3 linked regions of the Kluyveromyces lactis genome follow. The protein of the gene in region 3 interacts with the protein of the main gene of each other region in a biochemical or structural test. Links are inferred from orthologs where the notes say so. Each region holds a gene or a part of one and is shown on either strand. Other genes may lie near its edges. The genes, in order: FUS3, KSS1 and KLLA0_F03597g.

Region 1 (3,234 bases), on a different chromosome or scaffold from region 3:
AAACTAAAAACCAAAACAACAAAAAATGGCTGGATATACTAAGCGAAGTAATGCAGCGCGTTAGAAAAAAAAAATCGCGTCTAACTGCTGTGCGCTACTCGAATCACACAATAGCTCGGACATCCCGAAACATTAATGGTGCAGCTTACTCAGTTTACTAAGTTTGCAAGGATAGAGAGGGGAAGGAATCGTATCGGGTCGTAAGAATTACTGCATGTGGCAATGTATGACTGAAGAGCATACCATAGTGAAGGAAAGAGTCATGCGTGTTAAAGTCCGGATCAATGGATTTTTTGCATTTTCGTTCACAGATTTCCTAGTGCGTGTAATTTGTTTTTCTTGGTTTGACCTTCCCTGCAACGAGGGGGCCCCTAAAACAAACAAGAAAAAATCGCATTTAAGATAATCGCAGAACGGCGGCTCCGAAATGGGATCTTTTCGTCTCAATTTCTTTTTTTCCTTTCCAAAGCACAAAACCGCATTATGTTTATCTGATGGTGTTCTTTGTTCATTTTGGAGACCTCTACACAAGAAAATGATATAATACGCTAGTGGTTACTTAGTCATTCGTTTGTTTTTGGATGGTGTGTCTCATGACACGATTTCGTTCCATAACAGCCGCTTCAAATCCTTTGTATTTAGCCGCGACTTCCATTGGTCAAATTGAAAGAATGACGAAGGAATCGGAGTTCCTTCGGGCTCGTCGTCCGGGTCATGGTACGAGACCAAGTATGGATGTGATAGCGCTTCCGTGGCAGTGATCCGTAGCCTCGGATCGAATTGCAGCATCCGGTCAAGGAGATCAAGAGCGGCTGCAGATGCATTCGGGAACCTACGCCGCCAATTGATCTTGGGATGCTTAGGTAACGAGCGAATGTACTCACGTGCACGTCTATTTTCTACTAGCTCCACCAATTCTTGTTCCGTGGGTGTCCCTAAAGTCTGAAATATCAGGATCAACTGATCTCTGTAATCTTTCCCGGGGAACAACGGTTGTTTCCCCAAGAGCTCGGCAAGAATGCATCCGCATGACCATACGTCCATGGACTTGGAGTACTGTGCAGCTGTTAACATTACTTCCGGTGCTCGGTACCATCGGGTTGCCACATACTCTGTCATTCCCGAAATTGCCGGGTCACCGTCATTAGCCGCCGATGAAGGGGAGTTATCATCCGTGTCATCAGCGTCAACATGGGCATCGCCATCTGTTGCTCTTTCAGATACAATTCTTGCCAAACCAAAATCACAGATTTTCAAATCGCAGTTGCTGTTTAACAACAAATTACTTGGTTTTAAATCTCGATGGATCACATTACTTCCATGCAGCACTTTAAGCGCCCTTAAAGTTTGGTATACAAAATACTGCACATGATCCTCACTTAGTTCCTGCGTCACGATCACTCTATGCAAGTCCGTCTGCATCAACTCTTGAATTATGTACACCTCGTTAAACTGTTCGAAAGATGATGGTTTTTGCACGTCAAATATGCTGATTATGTTTTCGTGTTGGAAATGCTTCAATATCTTGATCTCTCTTAATGTTCTAATAGAAAATAGGGGTTTCTCAAAAGGTTCGATCTTTTTGATAGCAACTATTTCTCCACTGGGTTTGTGCTTCGCTGAACATACCACTCCGTAAGCACCCTCACCGAGAAGCGACTGTAGTTGAAACTCAGAGCTTATGTTAAATACTATCCTCTTGCCCATTGTCACACTATCTATCTCTGGTTCTCTGGATGAATAAAACCAGAGCAAAAATTTGTCCACCCCTTCTTGCCTGAGAATTTATCCATATTTACCCACTTTTAGGTATGATATATATATATGTAATATCTTAAGTCTTCTTGTTTCTCACTAAATCGCCTCAAAACCTCAAACCATCGAAGTTTTCACTTTAATTGTTTGTAATTCATGAACGCGACATTCCCCATATTCCCTTAAGTACGGCCGTTTCATCTTGAAACGAGACTAATTTCTTCAGAGATAATGTGAAACAAGCTGCAACAGTTTAGGGAAAAATTAAGGTTCTTAATTATGTTCACATTCACGTGACGCGTCCTTTTTTTTCCTTCTTCCCTTTTACCAACTTTCAAATGCTCAGAATTGGTATTATCAAAATTGCTAGGAGGAAAAAATAGAATATATCGTACAGATTGTCTTTTGAACCATTGTTCAACAGTTCGTTGTAATTTTGGTCTTAGCGGTAGTTAGCTTGTGTTTCATGTATATACTCAATTACCGATATAAACGAAACCCTTTTACATTGCTTGCAGTACTTTTAACGTCTTTGTCTCATGTTTTGGTGGAATATCCTTATTTGGCTGGGGCTTTGGAACTTTCTGCCCGTTTTGGCTCAGGATTTTAAACCCAAGGTATCGTTCCATTCGGATGTAGACACGCATGGCCGCTTGTCTATCCTCGGATTTGATGATTCGAGAGTAGTTCTTAAACTTCTTCGTGGTGTTGAGCTTTATAGAAGTGAGGATAATGGTGTTACTTGGGATTCGGTGGGATTGCCCCTTTCGTCTGATAACAAACCTCAGGAATGGAATCACTTGGTACTAGATCGGATTTATAAAGCAGATGTTGCATATTTGAGTGGTGAAAACGGCGTTTTAGCTACCGGTGATAAAGGGAAATCTTGGAAACAGTTAACTTTCCTAGACGCAGATAATCATAAGATAGACTTCTCTGATTATTCGAACGTCGGCGATGAAAATCGTAAACCGATTATCAACGTTGAAATCGAGTCACATCCCACAAATAAGAATGCAAGAATTATCAATATCTATGAACTAGGTAAACTGGATGGTAAATTTACCTTAAGGCAGATTTCGTTTTATTCCAAAGATGGTAACAATTTCAAATTGGCCAGCTCTGGTTCTAAAAGTAATGATGATTCAAACCCTTTAAACATGTTTTGTTCATTCGTACAGAAATCATCAAAATCAAAACTGTACAAATTAAAAGACAAGGTAATCTGTCAGGAGAGTACCGTACTATCCCCTTTCGGAGATGTTTCCAGTAAGTTGTATATCACCGATGTTAATTTTAAGAGTTTGAGTCCGTTTGCCGAACAATTACAGGATTTGTCTCCAGCATCAACGTTCATTTCCGATAATCATCTATTTATCTTGACATTATCAGATCGGTTCAATGAAAATTCTGCCGCAAATCTCTGGAGATTGGAAGATGATAGCACTGATAAGTTTGAACAAATATCCCTTGGAACAC
Region 2 (3,186 bases), on a different chromosome or scaffold from region 3:
ACTCTGCATACATGATGGAATGTCCTGTTAACAGTAGAGTTCGATCCTAAGAAAGTTTTGATATTGGAGTGATATTTCTCACTAGTAGCTGAGTGATCATTAGACATAAGATCCTTGAACTGGTATGATAAGATTTCATAGACTATCTCTGAAGGTAACCGCATCGTCGATGTTTCACTGATCATATTGAACGAATTATGATATGCGAGCCCCGAATAACACGTTTTATACACTTCACCAATCCTTAAAGCTATTTGCACCTGTTTTGGTGCTCTTGATGATTTCTTTAAGATCCACTTTGGTTTTCATTTTTTCTTCTATTGATGCGGGTCTTTTGTTCAAGTTCTTGTTCATTCTAATTATATCGCTACTTTATTTTTCATTTCAGGGCATAAAGTACACTTAAGGTTCATAAGGGATCAAAGAGTATGAAAAACGTGATGTGGTTATTCGTAGCTTTACTTAGTTATGTAATTAACTATATGATTGTCTAATATGAGTATGAGAATTCTTGTATTACTTTTCCTCAATTTGACAGACTAGGCGTCCTAATGAGAAGTACCCATGAAACGTAAAATCCTTGAGTCTCAGTACATTCATTCAAAGACTATGCGGATAGTTTTTTTTTAGTTCATAGAATATCGAACATATCAATTTAGAGGCTTCATAACTTCACCATAAAGCATCTTTTTCAACAGTTCCAGTGGAATATCGTCTTCCTCGTTTTTATCGCGGGCCTCGTTGTCAATTTTCCAAAAATTGTCTTCAAGGTTTAGTTGGGGATAATCTGGCTCGTCATCTGGATCATGATATGTTGCCAAATATGGATGTTCCAACGCTTCAACTGCACTGATCCTCTTGTCTGGGTTGAAAGTTAGCATCTTGGACAATAAATCGATAGCAAGAGGGTTAACTTCTTTATTTAACACATTAGCCCAGGGTATACCTTTCTTCATGGGTAGTTGAGATATGTATTCTTTTGCCCTTTTACTCTTGATTTGTTCAAAGTCTTCCAAAGTTGGAGACCCTAAAACTTCTAAGATGATCCAGAGTTGATGGTGGTAATCTTTACCTGGGAAAAGCGGCTTACCCATGATCATTTCTGCTAGTATACATCCACATGACCAGATATCCATTGCAGTTGTGTATTCTTGGAAGGACAACATGATTTCTGGAGCCCTATACCATCTGGTAGCTACATATTCTGTCATGAAACCCACCATATTCTCTCTTGATTGATCACTCGATGCCAGGCAACGAGCCAACCCAAAATCACACACTTTGAGATCACAATTGCTATTCAGTAACAAATTACTTGGTTTCAAATCCCTATGGATTACTTGTGCCGAATGTAGCGATTTTAAAGCCCTTAGTATTTGATAAACGAAATATTGGATATGATCCTCTGATAAATTTTGTTGGTTGATAATCTTCTGCAAATCCGTTTCCATCAACTCTTGTACAAGATAAACTGCTTCAAATTTATGCCATGACGTCGGACGTACTATATCCAAGACCGATATGATATTTTCATGCGAATGAAAGAATTTCAACAGTTTCAACTCCCGTAACGTCCTGGTAACAAACATCGATCTGCTAAACGGCTGTATCTTTTTAATTGCAACTTTCGTGTTTGTTGGCTTATGTATCGCAGAGCAAACTGTACCATATGCTCCCTCACCAACCAGATCTACTAGTTGATAATGGGATGGGATATCATACGTGATTGTTCGTGGCATCTCTATGCTGTTAGATCTCCGGTTTGCTTGTTATAATGATCTCTGCTATTCCACTATTATAGATTTAGTTTCCCCCCACTAAGGATTAAATATTATATATACCTATAGCGTCCAATTGCAAAACTCTGGATGGGAATCCTTTATCGTCATTCCCGAGCGTTGACTCGGCGCCTTAAGTATCCCATTGAGTTGACACAATGCGCGACGTTCCATGTCGTCCAGATAAAGAATGTTTCGTCCTTGAATCTTTGTTTCATGTTGGTGAACATTCCATCCAATCTCGAAACCTGAAAAAATGTTACCCCGGTGTCAGTCATGTGACTTATAATACACATCACTGCTCGGACATACCGCAATGCGCTTCACCGTTCAAGAAAGTGCAGTTTCACACATGTTCTGTCGGTTGTTACCACTGCGACTGAGCATAAATTGGATCCATGCGGGTAAATCTGCGGAACTCATTTCCCGATAGGTGAACTGAAAGTCATAGTTAAAGTTAACAGAGAATTGATAAGGGAATAGCTAAGACCGCAACGTGGATTTACAGATTTTTCGAGTTACCTTAAATGGTAGTTCCTCGAGAGAAGGCAACATGACTTGACTGTAAATGAGCTGGAAGTGATATCTAAGATAGGTGGGGTCGAGGCAGCGCGTTTGTCAGAATAGCATGGTTTGTCATCGGTAACATACATAAGTGAAGGGACATGGGATTGAGATTCTCTTTCCTCAGTAAAGTTTTCCAACCTAGTTTCAGTTTGAAGTAGGAAACAGCCAATTGGCAGATCACTTACTTGAGCATTCCCAGTTTCTATAGTAGAGTAAAACATCTACTGAATATATCTATAGCGGTGAAAGTCACAATTTCATCAGTAAGCTTTATTTGAGCCTGAAATTATCAAATGACATGTCTAACAAATCTCAGCCATTGATCACTGTTGTTGGTGCAGGTATTTCTGGTTTGTACGTCACGTACTGTTTGACCGAATTGTACGGCGTTCCGGGTGAAAATATCTGCATTGTGGCAGATTACTTACCAGGTGACCAGTCACCCACTGGTTATACTAGTCCATGGGCAGGTGGTGTTTGGTCTTGTATTTCACCTGATGATAAAAACGTCATGTGGTATGATAGGTTCACGTATGAGAATTTACCTACTTTAAGTGAAAAATTACTGGATTTCTACAAGGGTAAAGATGCAGAGTGGTTAGGATTAGCTCGCAGACCATCCACGGAATTATGGGATTACCAGCCTCCCAAGGCCAAGATTAATTCCTTGAGCCAATATTTGGAAGAGTATAAGGTCCTATCGAAGGAAGAACTTGCAAAATTCAAACCTGAGGGAGCCCAATTTGGTATCGCTTTCAACTCATGGAACTTCAATTGTCCAGTATTCATAGTAAACTTGGCTAACTTCTTGAAACAGAAGCATAATGTGCGTTTCTTGAAG
Region 3 (2,911 bases):
CATAGGGTTCGTCTGATGGTTGTTTTGTACTGTTCTGATCAGTTGAAGTTACCTTTTGAGATACCTCTTCCTCCTTTACTGGAACATTGGTAACAGAATAATTCCCATTTTCACCCACTGGCTTAGGACTTTCTCGCTGCTGTTGCTCTGATCTTTCTCGTTCTTCTCTTCTCTCTTCGAGACGAGATAGATAACTGCCCAAGCTTCTTTTTTTGACAGGTTCGCTCATGGTTATTACTCGGTTTTTTCAGAAAGGTTTGAAAGTTATGAATGGCCTCTGATTTTCCATAATTCGCACTCTTCTGAATGAATCCTTCGAGTAACGTAAAGTCCGAAGTATAATAAGTGGGAGGACAGTATTATCTAATGGTTTCTTTGCATTATTCTCCCTTGTCACCAGCTTTATTTACCTTATATCATAACTTAGAAACCTTCAAAAGTTTAATGTTTTTAAGAACAGAATTATCACTTGGTACGTTTTGATAGTTTGCCCAAACAGAAGATCCGCGGCGTATTATTACAGAGTAGTGTTTAGGCTACTATATACTTTGTATGGGTATCCCTAAAATTGCGTTTTATATCATACAATCTCACAGAGAGAGTTCACCGAATTCCGAGATGGACTCGAATGACTGTTTCCGACAGTTATCATTGATTGAGTCACAATTGTTAAGCCAATCTTCCCATTCCATTAGTTGGAATAACAAACTCATATTTGGACTTATTTCTCTGGCGACAGACTTCAATTTATTATATGCTTCATTCAAGCTTAATTTGTCGTATCTCATCATGTAAGCTACTATCAAGGAAGCTGATCTTGATACTCCACATTGACAGTGGATTAGCACCTTTTTTTTGCTGGCATAGGCATTCTGTATTAGTTCTGTTAGTTGTGGTAGGTTTTTAGTAATTTGTGAGGTATGAGACCAAGTAAAATGATAATAGCAACCTTGCTTGGATAGAGGCAGTTGTTCCTTGTAGTTGGTAATCTCCTTTGCAACGTTTATTATTACGTCGTAATCCATTACTTCTTTTAATGATGGTTCAGAATACAAATATATGAAAGGAGGGACGACAAGTAACGGTCCACTGGGATAATATTTCTCTCTGTATGATTCTGAATAGCTCGGTGAGTCTTCATCAGAATGGGTATTGTATGGGATGCTCTTCATATCATTATCATAATTTGTAGAGGACATGGGCGTATTTTCTTGAAGAACCCAATACCGTGTCGTGCTTTCCATTGAATCATTACTGGGCGTCTGTATCTGAGGTACACTTGTCGCAATTGTCGTGGCCCTCGGCCTATTGTGAAATTTGGTGTTGATTGTTGGAAGTGTTGGTTTATTGAAAGGCGAGGAAGACGTAGACGATGAGGGTGAAGCGGCTGAATCAAAGCCCGAACTGCCAGACGGTAATTGTGGTGTAGAGGGTGTGGATCTGGCAGATTTAAGCTGTGGCGGTAAAGTGTATATCTGTGCTTCACTTACACGTTTAGTAAGCTGGTGGCGCAATGGCACTGCGAAAGTATCATTGCTTTCATTTGGTTTTGAATCCACCATTATTAGTTTGTTTTTCGTTGGGGAATCACCTATTCGAAGACAAAGGTTCTTTGAATTTTTATTTTGCATCGAATGATGTGACCTTGTACTTATTCTCTGCGGTGCCTCCATATCGCTCGGTGTTGGGTATTGAAAAGGACTTGCAAGTATGATCAAATGTTTAATATAATTATAACCAAATAAGTTTCTTACCGAATTTCTTTGGCCAGGAATTCAAGATGAGATAAGAACGGTTTTCTTATGGGTTACCAGCGTCTAGGGAAATAATCAAGTACCAGCTTTAGTTTTCCTATATCTTTGAAGTAACACAATATTCAATAATTTCAATAAATTGCTGTACAAGCTTTTCTCAAATATCCTCTAATGTAGTAGCTAAGATCTCACAATCGTTCCCCGTTAATATGTTCAAAATATCCCCTCTGCCGCCTTGAATGTGTGTGTGGTAAGTCGAGGAAAACCCACCGGCGTGCAATTCGAAGGTTTAAATCTATGCCAATAACAATGATAACTTGTGGACCTACAGCAGTTGATTTATTTGACGATAAAAACAGACAAATGAACTTTTAGCTCTGTTTCGGTACCTTGTTTCAAGTTTACTTCTTGTGCTTAGTATTTCAACATTTCTGCTTTTTTTACTTTTTCTTGGGGACACAGGTAGGTCCTAAAAAAAGAAGTAAATAAATAACATTCTTGATGCAGATGTTGCTGGGGTCACTTAAGGCTTATAACTCGGCCATGAAAAATACAGTTTGTGGTACTTTAAGTATATCTTATTGTTATCATTATATATAATTACAAGCAAATTAGTTGCTGTGGCATACTACAAGACATTGTAAAAACTAAGTAAGGCCAAGGTTGAAGTTTTCCGATGAGTTATCTTGGTGTCTGACTTAAACAAGCTTCTGGCAGACTAAAAAATGGCCTTTATATTCTATTGCGCATGGTTATTTCCATGCTTTTTTCTGAAAGGTGAGTTGTCTGGATCTACAGAAATTTGCTGTTGTACTGGGAGTACTTTCTGGTTGTTAAAGAATGGGATACTGTAATACATGTTTCCTCTGACGATCAATTCGAATTCATATTTGATCAATTCTTTCCAACGGTCAATATCATTCTCTAGTTTGTGATTGCCCTTTTCATCTTGGTTATCGTGGCCCATTTTCTTTTTGTTACCATTATCATCGTCGTCATCGTCATTATCCCCGTCTTCATCATCACCATTATTTTTAGGTGCACCAGGATTGAGCAATTTAACACTGGCAACAGAAACATCATAATTTCTGTTGATCAATCTTCCTCTAAATTGTAGTTCACTTTCGAGATTGTATACTGTCCCGAGTAGTATGGTT

The links.
Region 1: the proteins of KLLA0_F03597g (region 3) and FUS3 form a complex in vitro, tested with the Saccharomyces cerevisiae proteins (3 studies listed by BioGRID, with this or other methods). The link is inferred for Kluyveromyces lactis from reciprocal best matches to the Saccharomyces cerevisiae genes MSG5 and FUS3.
Region 2: the proteins of KLLA0_F03597g (region 3) and KSS1 form a complex in vitro, tested with the Saccharomyces cerevisiae proteins (2 studies listed by BioGRID). The link is inferred for Kluyveromyces lactis from reciprocal best matches to the Saccharomyces cerevisiae genes MSG5 and KSS1.

Annotation. Positions count from the first base shown.
Region 1 is NC_006041.1:928,462-931,695, reverse strand, and holds FUS3 (mitogen-activated serine/threonine-protein kinase FUS3), read right to left. Parts: upstream 1,708-3,234; coding exon 592-1,707; downstream 1-591. Other genes in the region: PEP1 (type I sorting receptor), read left to right, coding at 2,295-3,234. UniProt on the Saccharomyces cerevisiae protein: Together with closely related KSS1, FUS3 is the final kinase in the signal transduction cascade regulating activation/repression of the mating and filamentation pathways, induced by pheromone and nitrogen/carbon limitation, respectively.
Region 2 is NC_006037.1:217,145-220,330, reverse strand, and holds KSS1 (mitogen-activated serine/threonine-protein kinase KSS1), read right to left. Parts: upstream 1,740-3,186; coding exon 651-1,739; downstream 1-650. Other genes in the region: LUG1 (Lug1p), read right to left, coding at 1-185; KLLA0_A02475g (FAD-dependent oxidoreductase), read left to right, coding at 2,644-3,186. UniProt on the Saccharomyces cerevisiae protein: Together with closely related FUS3, KSS1 is the final kinase in the signal transduction cascade regulating activation/repression of the mating and filamentation pathways, induced by pheromone and nitrogen/carbon limitation, respectively.
Region 3 is NC_006042.1:340,088-342,998, reverse strand, and holds KLLA0_F03597g (dual specificity protein phosphatase family protein), read right to left. Parts: upstream 1,674-2,911; coding exon 591-1,673; downstream 1-590. Other genes in the region: HOS4 (Hos4p), read right to left, coding at 1-229; VAC7 (Vac7p), read right to left, coding at 2,494-2,911. UniProt on the Saccharomyces cerevisiae protein: Dual specificity phosphatase that dephosphorylates MAP kinase FUS3 on both a Tyr and a Ser or Thr. Has a role in adaptation to pheromone.